Rattus norvegicus: one gene and its partners. The protein of the gene in region 1 purifies or fractionates together with the protein of each later gene. This does not show direct contact. Links are inferred from orthologs where the notes say so. Each region holds a gene or a part of one and is shown in the gene's direction. Other genes may lie near its edges. The genes, in order: Pip4k2a, Ube2h, Stk11 and Ahcyl1.

What was found.
Region 2: the proteins of Pip4k2a (region 1) and Ube2h purify together in Homo sapiens (affinity purification with mass spectrometry; 3 studies listed by BioGRID and IntAct, with this or other methods). This does not show direct contact. The link is inferred for Rattus norvegicus from reciprocal best matches to the Homo sapiens genes PIP4K2A and UBE2H.
Region 3: the proteins of Pip4k2a (region 1) and Stk11 purify together in Homo sapiens (affinity purification with mass spectrometry; 3 studies listed by BioGRID and IntAct, counting the BioPlex papers as one, with this or other methods). This does not show direct contact. The link is inferred for Rattus norvegicus from reciprocal best matches to the Homo sapiens genes PIP4K2A and STK11.
Region 4: the proteins of Pip4k2a (region 1) and Ahcyl1 purify together in Homo sapiens (co-immunoprecipitation; 3 studies listed by BioGRID and IntAct, counting the BioPlex papers as one, with this or other methods). This does not show direct contact. The link is inferred for Rattus norvegicus from reciprocal best matches to the Homo sapiens genes PIP4K2A and AHCYL1.

What each region holds. Positions count from the first base shown.
Region 1 is NC_086035.1:86,408,902-86,412,466, reverse strand, and holds part of Pip4k2a (phosphatidylinositol 5-phosphate 4-kinase type-2 alpha), read left to right. Parts: intron 1-1,783; coding exon 1,784-2,027; intron 2,028-3,419; coding exon of another isoform or gene 3,420-3,442; coding exon 3,443-3,546; intron 3,547-3,565. UniProt on the Homo sapiens protein: Catalyzes the phosphorylation of phosphatidylinositol 5-phosphate (PtdIns5P) on the fourth hydroxyl of the myo-inositol ring, to form phosphatidylinositol 4,5-bisphosphate (PtdIns(4,5)P2). Has both ATP- and GTP-dependent kinase activities.
Region 2 is NC_086022.1:59,803,533-59,807,097, reverse strand, and holds part of Ube2h (ubiquitin-conjugating enzyme E2 H), read left to right. Parts: intron 1-1,200; coding exon 1,201-1,325; 3' UTR 1,326-3,565. UniProt on the Homo sapiens protein: Accepts ubiquitin from the E1 complex and catalyzes its covalent attachment to other proteins. E2 ubiquitin conjugating enzyme that transfers ubiquitin to MAEA, a core component of the CTLH E3 ubiquitin-protein ligase complex.
Region 3 is NC_086025.1:10,224,929-10,228,493, reverse strand, and holds the end of Stk11 (serine/threonine-protein kinase STK11), read left to right. Parts: coding exon 1-132; intron 133-452; exon of another isoform or gene 453-1,914; coding exon 1,915-2,108; 3' UTR 2,109-2,121; exon of another isoform or gene 2,122-2,318; 3' UTR 2,319-3,290; downstream 3,291-3,565. Other genes in the region: Cbarp (voltage-dependent calcium channel beta subunit-associated regulatory protein), read right to left, coding at 3,388-3,565. UniProt on the Homo sapiens protein: Tumor suppressor serine/threonine-protein kinase that controls the activity of AMP-activated protein kinase (AMPK) family members, thereby playing a role in various processes such as cell metabolism, cell polarity, apoptosis and DNA damage response.
Region 4 is NC_086020.1:197,988,579-197,992,143, reverse strand, and holds part of Ahcyl1 (S-adenosylhomocysteine hydrolase-like protein 1), read left to right. Parts: intron 1-235; coding exon 236-330; intron 331-1,127; coding exon 1,128-1,234; intron 1,235-2,061; coding exon 2,062-2,178; intron 2,179-2,423; coding exon 2,424-2,487; intron 2,488-3,194; coding exon 3,195-3,283; intron 3,284-3,565. UniProt on the Homo sapiens protein: Multifaceted cellular regulator which coordinates several essential cellular functions including regulation of epithelial HCO3(-) and fluid secretion, mRNA processing and DNA replication.

The sequences.
Region 1 (3,565 bases):
CATTTCAACCTGCTAACCAGTTTATAACCTGCTCCTTCACTGTGTGGCCACCACCCATAGAAGAGTTGGTTCCAGTACTCATAAAGATCACAGGAAGGTCCTGGCTCCAGGAGTTAACACAGGCTAAGGATGTGGCTTTATGATGGACATGCTTTGACATGTACAAGGCTATGGGTACCTGGCACCAAAAGAAAGAAAATTAAACTACAGGAATCAGGGATAATTCCTTATTCTAAGGAATCAGATAGACTGGATCTTGTGAGAGGAGAAAGGGAAAAAACCAGAGTCCTGGCAGTGTAAGGCTTGTAAAAGCAAGCAGGAGGTCTGAGAAGTTCTGAGTCTACACACTTGGAAATATTGCATATTTTTAAGATAAATGCATGAGTTAAGTCAGTTATGGTTGTACGCACCTCTAATCCCTACACTCAAGAGGTAGAGACAGGTATGAGCTCCGATTTTGAGACCCACCTGGTCTGCATTGCTGAGCTCTAGCCCAACCAAGGCTATGTAGTGAGAACCCACCACAAGTAGAAAAGTAAATAAACAAGTTTAAAGAGTGTGGGGCCGGCAGATAATGTCTCTCCTTTCCCACAGTCGCTGGCACCAGCCCCCACCCCTGAGCCTGGTCCCCAGCCTGTCTTCTCTTTCTCCTTGGGCTCACACTGTGGGACTCTCTTTTCCCCCACAGAGTTCTGGTCTTCCTTGAAATGTTTGGAATGAGCACAGCTAATTCCACCCCGACACCAAAATGCTTTGCAATAAAGTTAGTGGGAGACGAGTCAGGGGCCTCTCCCACATGCTTGTCCTCTAGACTTAACACCCATCCTACCGTGCCACGGGCATGCCTGTTGTGTGTGGAAGTGCCCTTCTTCTAGGCTACCAGATGTTCTCCGTCATAGTGCCAGGGTGGTGGCAAGTTCTCAAGGAGTTGCGGCCATTCACCTTTTGCAGACCGGGATTCTGCAGGGCCAGCCAGCCAGCCAGTCAGCCAGTCAATGGGCTGCTCGGTCTGCTCTCTGTTAAGCTATCCACACTTCAGTGGGTCAATAAGAGCATTGCATGCCCTGTGTCTGTGTAGATCCAATTAATTAAAATGAACGAGAGAAGAAAGCAAGAACTTGACAGATGGGAGGGGACAAACCCACAGCTGGCCTTGACTTGTAGCCATGACTGGAAGGGGAAAGGGGGCAGTGCCCCTGGGCCTCATGGGAAACGGAGTACCTTAGCATCATTGTTGTTAGCCAGAAGTTGAACGGGTACAGAGGGAATGTGTTACTTACCACCGTACTGACACCATTCACTCACCGGTTGACAGGGATAGAAGAGCTTTTGCTTATCGGTGACCAACAGCGTGATAATTATGTGCTAGGGGTATGCTGGGTTTCCAGTGCTTTCCAGGAGGCTTTCTTGAGCTTCGCTGGAAGCTACCTGGTGACTCCCTGGTTTTTCCCATTACCCAGTTGTTTTCTTTGTTGGAGAAAAGCACACACACAAACTCCCAAGGCTCTTCTGACAGCACCTTACACCCTTAAAATTACCTCAGCGGTTACATAATAAATGCCAGTCTCAGGAAACAGCTTCGCATTGTCAGTGGGGTGGTATAATCCTAGCAGTGAGCCAGCCAGAAGTGAGGAAACTGTCTAAGAATGGGAACCACATAAAGGAGGCACAGGGGGTCCCCTTAGCCCTTGGACCCTTCCCCAGTGTTTCGTCCTTCTGATCCTAAATTCTTTAATTCTTAGCGTTGTTAAGGTGTTAACCAACCTGTCTCCTCCCCCTCCAGTTCCTTGCACAACTAAAACTCATGGACTACAGCCTCCTGGTGGGGATTCATGATGTGGAGCGAGCAGAGCAAGAGGAGGTTGAGTGTGAGGAGAACGAGGGGGAAGAAGAAGGAGAGAGTGACGGTGCCCACCCCATCGGGACGCCACCTGACAGTCCTGGAAACACACTCAACAGCTCACCACCCTTGGCTCCTGGCGAGTTCGACCCAAACATTGATGTTTATGCAATTAAATGCCATGAAAGTAAGCTTAGTGTCATTGACTCGTTCTGCACGTAGAGTGGTTTGATTTTCGCACTGGGATCTATCAGTAAGGCCGGCCCTGGTTCCGAGGGCGCTGTTTGCAGGGCTCCCACTGAGTCTAATGCACTGATAATCAGACGGCGATGTGCGTTTAAAGGAAATAGTCATTTCAGGTGTTGGAGGGCGGAAGGAAACTAGAAAGCGTCTTTAATATATTGCGCATATGCATTTGTAGATAATGTATTATGACAGATAAGCCCAGTGTATTCCCACAGGTGTGTCCAGCTTAGACCCCAGGAGAGCATTGAAGGGAGCATCCCAACACGTTTATAGATCACGGTGTTATACCTCAGTGTCAAAAGGTTACACGCCCTAAGCGTGTTAACATTGAACTCGTTTTTTCATGCCAGGTTCAGTGATACCAAGTCTGCCTGAGCAATTTAACAAGAGCCTGCCTCAAAATGAAAGATGCCTTATGCTGTAGCCCACTGGTGGAACACTTGTCTGACATGAGGGGGGACTGGGGGTTGAGCCCCAGGACAGAGGCCTGACAGTGTCTCACAGATCTGTTCCGGGTGAGGCAAGTGTGTGCAGTCCACTGTGCCCCTTGATCGGGTGGCCTTCTCGTGGAGCTGACATTACCACTCAGGCTGCCTTTTCAGGGGTGCAGAGGCCAGGCCCCAGTGCACACAGTGAGAATCACTGCCTCTTCTGCTGTCTCCATGATGAGATCTGTGGCCCTCCTCACAGGGCCTCCCTCACGTCAGTTCTCAGGATCCTGGTGTTTGGTTGGTTTAGCTTAAAAGTCATGACTGTAGCTACATGTCCATGGCAAAAATATTTTACTAATATGGTAAAACAAACAAAAAAAACCCTTCCCTTCTCACTTAAATAATCAAACAGGTCATTTCTGCCCCATCATGTCAGCCAACAGGTTTTGGGTTGTATTTTTTATATTTTTAATTTTAGCCACCAAAATCCTTCCTTAAACATAAGAAAACCAGTTATAATTGAGTGTACATTTCTTAACTATTTGTAATTGAAACAAAGTATTTTTTGAAACTATGTAGAAAGTAGATAATGGAGACCTAAAACCCTTTATTCAGTTCTGATATTCTATCCGGGGAGAAAATGCAGTGCCCGGGTAGAAAGGGATTAGTTAATAAGCATAATTAATTCTACTTGCTTTACAAAAAATTCTAAAGAGAGCATTTTTCTTTACATAAAAACAGTTTACTATGGTGAACGAAATGCAGACTAGGAAACAAAGTTACTGTCCCGGCTTCTTGCTGCTTTTGTTTCGGTACAGGGGGCCAACCGGAATGCGGTTTCTGCATCCCACCCCCTCCTAACCGCTTGGCTTGTCCTCTGAGTGTTGTCCCCTGTCCCACAGCCTCTGCTTTCCTCCCGTTCCAGACGCACCTAGGAAAGAAGTGTACTTCATGGCGATTATTGACATTCTCACTCATTACGATGCAAAAAAGAAAGCTGCCCACGCTGCGAAAACTGTAAAACACGGCGTAAGTACGGGCTCCCTCA
Region 2 (3,565 bases), on another chromosome or scaffold:
GTGTACAAACTTTAGAAAGAAAGTGTGTCTGGTTGTGGGCACTTGACATACACTGGAGGAGGCTCATGGCACGATGAGCACACTGTTACTGTCTTCAGACACCAGAAGAGGGCATCAGATCCCATTACAGATAGTTGTGAGCCACCATGTGGTTGCCGGGAATTGAACTCAGGACCTCTGGAAGAGCAGTCAGTGCTCCCAACCGCTGAGCCATCTCTCCAGCCTCCCTCATAGCAAGTTTTTTTGTTTTTGTTTTTTTTTTAAGATTTATTCATTTATCATATATAAAAGTACACTGTAGCTGTCTTCAGACACACCAGAAGAGGGCATCGGATCTCTTTACAGATGGTTGTGAGCCACCATGTGGTTGCTGGGAATTGAACTCAGGACCTCTGGAAGAGTAGTCGGGTGCTCTTAACCGCTGAGCCATCTCTCCAGCCCTATGGCAAGTTTTAAGTTAGTCTGGTACACAGCAAGTTCCAGGCCAGCCAAGAAGACACAACCATCTCACAAAACAAAACTGAAGGGAATAGGGAAACATTCCTACCTGGATCCCCTGCTGTCTTTTCAGCATCAACGGGCCTGTGTGATCTTTTGCCTGCCTTTTTACAGCAGCTTTAACAGCACCATTGGCATGAAGACATGAGAGGCCCTGTGTCCAGTTGTGCTGATTGGAGTCCCACCATTGCCCTTCCACAGTGTGTGGGCAGTTTACTTACACAGCGTCCTTTTAGGAACAAATGTATTGTTTATTCAGCATTTCTTACATTTGTTTTCAGCCGGCCCTTTGGCCTAGGCTCTTAAGCATAATCTTGAGGAGAATAGTGAGTACATGGAAGAACCCTCAAGACCCTGCACCTCCACACAGCAGCCTGTCCCTGATGAGCAGAGCCAGACCATGATTACTGTCTGCTTCCAAAACCCAGCGGTCAGGATCGAGTGTGATTGCATAGGTGCAGATCAGGGGTGGGGAGTCACCGAGGAGTCATCACTAGACCACTCCTGTCTAGGAGATAAACCACTTTATTAACGGGGAAAGTAAAAAGTGTGGACTGCCCACTTCAGCCCAAACAAGTCACTTCCTCTTTGGAACCCCTTGGCTTTTCGTTACCATAACACCGGGGTAGCAGGTGAGTTTGTACCGAGGGGTCACTGAACTCACACCCTGTGTTTCCTTCCCCCCACCCTCCCCCTGTGCAGAGTACATCCAGAAGTATGCAACGGAGGAGGCCCTGAAGGAGCAGGAGGAGGGCACTGGCGACAGCTCATCGGAGAGTTCTATGTCCGACTTCTCAGAAGATGAGGCCCAGGACATGGAGTTGTAGTAGAAAAGGCATCTGCTTTTCAGAAAGACTATTATATCCTAACCATGAGAAGCAGACTCTAATATTCATATTTAAACAAAGCAATTTTTTTTATTACTAAACAAGGTTTTTATGAATAATAGCATTGATATATATATATTATATATCACCCTTTAGATCTTGATTTCTTGGTCATTTCTCAACCTGAGGTGCGTAGCATATTCCCACATTCCATTTTGGTAGCAGTATGCGGTCTGAATGCATGCATGCGTAAGTCCATTTGGCCAAGTCAGCCTGTGCGCTACTGAACTACTGTCAAGAGATTGCCGCTCTGAGGTAAACATGAGTTAATGACAAGTTTGCTTCTTTTATTGATGGTTCCAAAGAAACAAACCAAATTCTACCAGCTCTTGGATGAAGATAGAACCGTGCTTTTCCAGAGTGGAAAGGAAAGGGTTGAGACGCGTGCTTTGAGAGCCTGTGAAGCTGCGCTGTCTGTGTCAGCCACTCCATAGTCCTAAGTGGCCCTTTGTGAGGAGCAGCGTGAGACAGAGTTGATGAGAAGCGAGACTTAGGGCTTTGGGGTTTTTTTGGCTCAGATTTAAGTGTGTTTTTCTAGGTAGATTCCCGCCCTCCCTGCTGCCAGACCTGCAGCCACATTGGTTTTTTGCCTTGGAGAACATTTGGGAAGCATTTTCTGAACCCATTTCCTTTTGGGGGTGTCCAGTTTGTCATCCAGCAGAGCATTTTGAGAGAACAGGACTGAAGGAGAAAGGTGACTGGAAGACGCCGAGTGACATCTGATCCAGCGCCGGCCGGCCGGGCCTGTCGGAGACCATTGCCCTGGACTGAGCTGTGACACTGGAAGCAGTTCTGTTTGGTGTTTTGTTTTTCTTTTTTTTTTTAGCTTTGTGTGAATTGTACTTAGACAAGTTACAGGTTTAATTTTCACTACCAAGAGAGTCTCCTCCCTGGACAAGGTGCTCAGTGGACCATCAAATGGAGGAAGACTGGCCTTGTTGCTTGAGCCCTGCACAACCCTTGGAACTCCAGCTTAGTTTTCCTCCCAGAAGCTGCCAACTGCTGTGGGAGTGTGGGTAGTGTGGGTATCCGAGACCCAAAACATCCTAAATTTGAAATGGGTAACAGTTGAAACAAACTGAAGTTTTTGTACCAAAGTGGCTCGAAGTGGGAAGAACCACTTTAGTAAATTGTCATGGAGGCAGGTTGAGGGGACACCACTTTCTCCCTCTGCAGTAACAGACAGACAGACAGACAGACAGCTGGAAGTGCCTGGCTGGCTGCTACCGGCCAACTGCCATCCAGTGTGCCCGGCAGTTTGAGACCTGACTCTGGAGGGAATTTGGAGACCGTTTAGAGAGCAGCTCTGCTCTGTATTTTTGCCGAAACCAGAGCAGTAGACGTAGCCAATGTAAGACCTTCTGAAGACATTTTGAATGTCCCACTGGACTAACCTTTCTCTTGATGTGTGTTTTTAGTTTAGAAGTGCTATATTCCACAAGGGTTAAGTCAATGAGGTTGGAGAACACCTATCTTTTTTCTTTTTTAATTCAAAAAGCACAATCAGTCTTTCCTTTGAAAATCTATAAAAGTACAACTTTTAGCATGATTATTTTCCTAAATAAAAAGACAAATAATTTACTTATTTTACGTTAATTACGGGCATGAAGCAAAAGGTTTCTTTGGGGAAAATGCAGTTCTCTAGTGCTGGGGTTGGTTCACTGCACTGTCCCTGGCACCCTGGCTTGTTGAAAGGTGGCTTTAGCTGTGTGCCATGTGACCGTTTGCCTGCCACGCTCTGTTGTGGTTAGGGGAGTTTCTGCTCACACTTGCAGCTTGCTGCCCTGCAGATTAGCCCTTTGCTCATGCTACAGCCTTCCTGTGGGTGCTACCTTGGGCAGGCTTGAACTGCTGGGTGATGGTCGTGAGTTCAAACAATTAAAAATGTGGGTTTTTTTTCAATACTATATAAAAGTAGTGCTCTGATTACCTCCTCCTCAAAAAAAAAATCCAGATAATTGCTTTTGATATTGTTGGGGAAAAAATAAAACAGAGCCAACTTTGGGAAACAGGTGTGAGCAGCTACAGCTCTTGACCCTTACCGGGGGCCACTTCGCTCCAATGAAGAGACATCATTCCTTCCCGTGCAGGGCTGACAGTGCAGAGTGTCCATCCAGACACATGATGAAGGTGTCACTGGTTCTGCACTGCAGTTCCCATGCCTGCCCCCAAGTCACTCC
Region 3 (3,565 bases), on another chromosome or scaffold:
AGGACCGCTGGCGCAGCATGACCGTAGTGCCCTACCTGGAGGACCTGCATGGCCGTGCAGAGGAGGAGGAGGACGAGGACTTGTTTGACATTGAGGACGGCATCATCTATACCCAGGACTTCACAGTGCCTGGTGAGTTGACTGGGCGCAGCTCACGCTGGAGCTTGTGCCTTTGTGCACTCTGGGGCTGGTCCTCTTCCCAAGGCTCCAGCTGATACGAGCCCCCAGGACTGCCAAAGCCATCCTGGTGGCTGTGGAGGCATTCACTCTGGGCTGGCTGGAGGGCTCCCTGGGCCCATCTGCAGCTTCTTATGGCCTCCGTATGGCTGTGTCTAGCAGGAGGAGGGGACCCTGGAGGGCAGCGGGTAGGTGCCCTGAGACAGCCGCCTGAGGGAGGGTCCAGTGGCCCTCAGTCCTGGCCATGCCTGACCTTCTATCGCCTTCTTCCCCAGGTGTCGAGGAGACGGCCGAGTCAGGGCTTAGCGAGGACGCATGCGACACATGCATGTGGAAGAGCCAGGGCGCAGGCCTTCCCGGAGAGGAGCCCGAGGAGGGCTTCGGGGCCGTAGTGTAGCTCCCTGTCTGCTGCCCCACTTGTCTTCCATAAAGCTTTGTCCACTGTGTCTGCAGGGGGATGCTTACCGCGACTGCCCTCCCTCCCTCCCTCCCTCCCTCCCTCCCTCTTCCTTCCCTCCCTCCCCGTCACTGCTCCTCATGACAGGCTTCCTACCAGGGTTTCAAAGGACATGCCTGGGCCCAGGGCCTGGGGCAGGGTTTCAGCGTCAGGGTGGCCACCAGCCAGGGCTGTGGAGCCTTTGTTCCTGTGCCCCTCAGGCCAGCCCCACTCAGCTCCTGGCCTTTCAAACAGCCATGTGGGGAGGGTAAGGACCTTGGGCTACTGTGTCTCCTGTAGCAGATCAGTGTTCTGAAAGCAGTGCCCCCGCTGGGTGCCAGGTCGGCCCACAAGGACAGGTGTGCGCCTGAGGTTCAGTGTGGGCCTTGGCTGCAGCCCTTCCATCCCCATGTGGGAATAGTGTCTTCTCTCTGTCACCTGGAGCCCTTGCCTACACTGTCCCACCGGCTCAGCTCTGAGCTGATAGCTGGTGCGGGGCAAGGCCCTCTTTCTTGCTGTGGGCCCCTCTGCTGGGGAGCAGGCGCACGGAGATGCTGGCTGCATGAGGGACCCTCAAGGCTGCTGGGAAGGAAGGGACAACTGGGGGAGTGCTTGCTGTACAGGGAAGTGATGGCACTCAGAGGGGAGCCTGGTTCCTCTGCCTGCAGCAACAGCACAGGGCCTTTCTACTCAGTGTCTTGTGTGGATGGAGGAGGGGCAGAGTCCACCTGACCCCACGCCTAGTCCTGTCCAGCATGAGAGCCTGGGTGGGTGCTGCCAGTGTGGCTGAGTAGGAGGCTCTGGGAACAAGGGCAGTAGGGCTTGTGCTGGGTTCTCAGCCACATTGCAGAGCACTGGGCTATGTAGTTACCCGTACACTCTGCCCACTGAAGCCTGGGGAGCTCAGAAGAGGTCGCCTCTTGTTCCACCATGAGTGCAGCCCAGCAGAGCATGCTGGGCCTGCAGCCCCCAGCTGGATGGTCTCCTTCCCCATGCTCTGCACATCTAGTAGCCCCCAGGCTGAGGGCTTCATCTCCTTGTGCCTGTTCTGAGGGTCTAGAGCCTGGCTCCCTTGGAGAGCTCTGTGAGCTGGTGCTGGGCTACCCAGGCTAGACAGGCAGGTGAGCATGGGTGTGCTGCAGGAGGGCCAGGGCATACCACTGGGAAGGTATGGCCTGACTATCTTTGGAGCTACTGAGGGGTGGCAGAGACCAGCCTCTGGTGCAATTGGGGCTGGCTGGACCCTGGGACTTTGAGCTGCCTGGCCCTTGACTCAAGCTATGCTTGCCATCTTCCCGCAGGACAGGTCCTGGAAGAGGAAGTGGGTCAGAATGGACAGAGCCACAGCCTGCCCAAGGCTGTTTGTGTGAATGGCACAGAGCCCCAGCTCAGCAGCAAGGTGAAGCCAGAAGGCCGGCCTGGCGCTGCCAACCCTGCACGCAAGGTGTGCTCCAGCAACAAGATCCGCCGGCTCTCGGCCTGCAAGCAGCAGTGACTGAGGCCTACAGGTGGGCAAGGGCCAGGATCCAGAGTCATGTTTGGTGTTCACAGTGGGCGTCTGCTATGCGCCTAGCTCCTTCCCAAGGGCAGGGCTGCAGGGGGTGAGGCCACAGCCCTTACCGACTATGTGCACAAAGGACCTTTCTGCTCTGGAGTGGCCAGTACCTGGGGCCTGGTGCTAAGTGGCCACCCATTCTACCAACAGTGTGTCGCCAGGATCTTTGGGCAGGTGTCCCGGCAATACTGATTCCGGGCCTGTCTGTCCACATACTTCTGGACATTGGAGCCGAGGGCAGACCTGCCACCCCAGAAGCACTTTATGTCGAGACCACTGGTCGGCCTCGCCTGCATGCCGCCCTGCGAGCCTCGCTGTCTTTGGGTTGGTTTTTTTTTTCCTTTTTTTTTTTTTTTTTTTTTTTTTTTTAAATAAAACAGGAGGATTTGAGCTGTGGCTATGAGGATGTTTGGAAATAGGGAGCAGGCGGGGCACAGGGTGGCCTGCAGAGAAAACCCAGAGCGAACAAATATGCAGAGACATTTATGATCAACCAGACAACACGACCAACCACAGGGCGCAGGGCAGGGAGTGGGCAGGCACTCATGGCGAGGCTGCCCAATCTTTTGGCAATAAATAAAGCTTGGGAAACTTGAAGCTGCCACCGGGCTGTTCTGTCTCTGTGTTTAAAGCCCAAAGCTCGTGGGGAGGGATGGGACAGGCTGGAGCCTGTGCACATGCAGAGAGCGAGCAGGCGCAGTCGGTTATTGCTCAGAGAGGAAAGGTACAGTTGCTACAAAGTGCATACCATGGACAGGGGAAAGGATTAAGGATCTGGGGCGCGTGTTCCTCTCTGATCCTCAGTGCCCCGCAGTCACTTCCCCTCCAGTAGGTTCACGCATGCAGTGGCACTGCCAGCACGTGCTCACGAGTGTGGAGGTTCGGCTGATCCTGGAGGGAGGCTGCACGCGCACCTCAGAACCTGCTCCACCCGCATCTGTGGCCAGAGGCTGGGTGCCGGGGGTCAACCGTATATGGACTTGAGAATCCAAGATCTTCATCCTCCCTGCAGCTGAGCCTGGGTCCGGAGGCCTTGTGCATCCGGAGGCCCACTGCACCCTGCTAAGTGCCCGAGGGGACACTCCTTGTACACACTTGGGATTTGGGCCGCGTACCCATGCACAGCAACCTCAGGTTGCTCCCGCTGTCGCCACCATTCCCACAGCGGCCCCACGTGCCGCCGGCAAAGCAGCCGAGAGGCAGGTCCAGTACACAGAGCTTAGGCTGGGCTGTGGTCAGGGGATGTAGGGGCGGCAGCAGCGACAATCAGCACCGGGGATGAGGCAACTGGCTCAGCAAGACGGGGAGAGAAGAGTCTCTCGTCGAGGCTAGCTGCTAGTTTGTCCAGCAGTGCCCCGGCGGGCTCAACACATAACCCAGAGCCTGGGCAACCACTG
Region 4 (3,565 bases), on another chromosome or scaffold:
AAGAGTAAAATTGACCTAAAGACAATAATATTTTATGACTCCAAAATATTTTTAAAACAGAAATCTCTTAATTTCTTAAGTACAGTAATTTCTGAACTAAAAAGTACCATTTTGACTTTTTAAGTTTTCCCTCTCTGAATTTTTCTTTTCCCTTTCATTCTTCATGTGGATCTCAGAGCTGGTATTGATGTGCACATCAGAAGCAGCATTAACTAATTTATTTCTGTCTCCATAGGAGTTGCAGTGTTTGCTTGGAAGGGCGAGTCAGAAGATGATTTCTGGTGGTGCATTGACCGCTGTGTCAACATGGATGGGTGGCAGGCTAACATGGTAATCATTCATGTCCACCCCATATTTTTTACTATGGATTTATTTCCTTTTCTCCTTTAAAGCATGGTTCCCTAAATATATTTTTGTGTGTTTGGTCTTATTTACTGACTATATTGCTAAAGTGTTCATAACACAATACCTACTCGGTATGGATCTAAGATGCACAAGTCCCTGGGTTCAATCTCCAGCACCAAAAAGAAAGAAAGGAAAGGAAGGAAGGAAAGAAAGAAATGGAAAAAAGCTCTGCGAAGTGAATAGAAAGGTGGGGGAAGGGTAAGCTGAGGTGGACACAGGGCTCAAACACAGCAGAATAAACAGAAGGAAATGATGTGGTTGGTCCCTCTTTGGAGTAGGAGTCTTATTTCTTTCCTTCCTGCTCCACTTCTCCTTTTGCATTCAGAGGAGCTGTATATGTCAGCTAGACTGAAAATGAGCCCATGATTTGTAACACTTATTTACTGTAGCTGAGCATGGCGCTTGCCTGTATTCCCAGCATTTGAGAGGCTGAAGCAGGAATCCTCGAGCTCAGGAATTTTAGAGTAGCCTGAGCAACAAGCAAGATCCAGTCTCAAAAGAGAACTTTCCGTTGTAGCCTAGAACTCATTGAGGAATTCTCTTAATCACTTTACACCAACAGATTTAACTATATTTCCACTGTCTAAGCCTATTCTGCTGAGCGTTAAGACGTGCTCTTCCAAAATATCCAGGGCTCTCTCACTAGTGTAGAAAATGGGCTCAAAGTTCCCCCTAGCTCTAGCAGCCTGAATGCCCATAGAAGTCTTCTGGCTGTTCTGTAGATCCTGGATGATGGGGGAGACTTAACCCACTGGGTTTATAAGAAGTATCCAAACGTGTTTAAGAAGATCCGAGGCATTGTGGAAGAGAGCGTGACTGGTGTTCACAGGTAACAGATTCTGGAGTAGCTGCCCCTTGTGTCCTTGCCTCATCAAATTCTTCTGGTCTCTCCTAGACTTTAGGGCTGTGTTTCAGACTTTAAATAACTAAGTGGGAGTGTCTTCATTAGATAAAACTGAGTTTTTACTTTTGCAAAATCAAAATGACCATAGAAGGAATTTTGAAGGAAGTTTTTCAAATTCTAATTCACATGCTTTTATCTCTCCCATTTACTCCACTGAGTAATTAACAATTATTTGGGAGTAGGGGCGTAGGGAGGAGTGTGTCTTGTAAAACTTGTGCTCAATGTTGTATTATAATTTTTATATTTTAAATATGGAAGGAAAAGTATTTTTTAAAAAAAAAAAGCTATATGTGATGCAACAAAAAGTAAAACTGGAGATATACTCTTGGCTTGGTGGAAATAACTAAATGGTATCTAGGAGCACTGCTCTACCGGGGCACAGTGTACGTGATTGCTCTCACAGACACAGTGAATCACATCAAAACACTTGTCATCTTTGTTGACCTGAAGTAAACAGGAGTACTGAAAGTTAGAACAATGCTGGCCTAAGGTTATAATGTTCCATTTGTGGAAGAGCAGTAAATTACTTCAACTGAAAATTTTTTACTTTTCTTCCCCAAAAGTAAAGGATAAAGGTAGAAGGAAATGAGTTGAGGAGAGATGACAAGAAAATAGTCATGTTTCCGAAGAATTTCTGGGCATAAATAAGAATAAGGAGGGCAGCATGACTTGAAGAGACAGAAGCAGACTGCTGTTTACTGTTTGTCACTAACTGGTTGTGTGTTTGTTTTGTGGCTTCTTCTCCCTTTTAGGCTGTATCAGCTCTCCAAAGCTGGGAAGCTCTGTGTTCCAGCCATGAATGTCAATGATTCTGTTACCAAACAGAAGTTTGATAACTTGTACTGCTGCCGAGAATCCATTTTGGATGGGTATGTTGAAATGTATACATTCAGACTTGCAGGGATTGGTGGTATTTGTTTGACATGTTAGTCTGATACCTGTAGCTTGCCCCTGTAGTCTCCCACCTTTACATGTAACTAAAGGGGCCCACTTCACACTGATCTCAGCCAGCTTTCAAATGAATTTCTCCTGGGCGTTGCCCTACACTTGAGTTTGGTACAAAGGGACCAAGTTGTAAATGATGTTTGAGATGAGTCCTTGTCTGTTTCCACAGCCTGAAGAGGACCACAGATGTGATGTTTGGTGGGAAACAGGTGGTGGTGTGTGGCTATGGTGAGGTAAATAGTTGGGCCCCCGTGTCTCTGTCTATTCTTATTAGAAGGGCTTTAGAGAAACACTGGAGGAAGGAGACAATCTACAAACACTGACACATGGTTTTCCATACTGTGCTTGAAAATAGTGGCAGAAGTCCTTCTTTTCATATTCATGAATTAAAGGCAGAGTGTATTGAACTTCCATATTTTAGCACTTTATCTTATTGATTAATGTCAACATTACTGTCTCCCACTTATAACCTTTTATGAAATAAAATTCAAGCGGATAAGTAGCATTTTTATCCCCATCTTATGACTTGCATTATAATGGAGAAACCGAAGTGGCATTATAGTTGAATGTCTCTAAAGTGGACTAGGTCCTAGGAAGTTTCATCGTCTTCAGCAGTGGTTCACTGAAGTTCTTGGGCTGCTGGGTATTGAGTAGACACATTGGAAGAAAGTTTTACCAGGTTTTTATGGAGTAAATCAGTTGTTCTTGTTTGGTCTTATTTTCATATTTCCCCAACTCTTGCTGTGACTTGTCTGCTAAATTATCTCTAATTGAGGTTTACAGCCTAGATTGGGTTTCTTTCTGCTCCAGCTGGGGTTGGAATGTTCCCTGGATGATGACTGATTTAAAGAAGACTAATTCCTATCTCCTCAAAAGCTTGTCTGCCCTGGTGATCATGTCTTACTAGACCTGGCAACTTGGGCTTTCCTATATTCTGCAGGTAGGAAAGGGCTGCTGTGCTGCTCTCAAGGCCCTTGGAGCAATTGTCTACATCACAGAAATTGACCCCATCTGTGCTCTGCAGGCCTGGTAAGGGTGGGGTGCTGTAACACTGTCAGGTTTGCTGTTCGTGTTTTGTATTTCTGCAAGCTGGTGATTCATTTACTTCACTGTTTTCGTAGAAATCTCCCAGGGAAAGAGAGTAAGATGCTTTGTTCCCTTCACTCTAAGCCTTTTATGGGGCCTCTTGGCATTTTCTCCTGTGTAGACTCTGGGGCTCCACAGCAGCCAGTCTGTAGCTCCCTGTAGCTCATCATTTGCCATTGCTGGGATGGAACATTGGCTTTTACTTCAGAAGGGGATTTTGTTGTC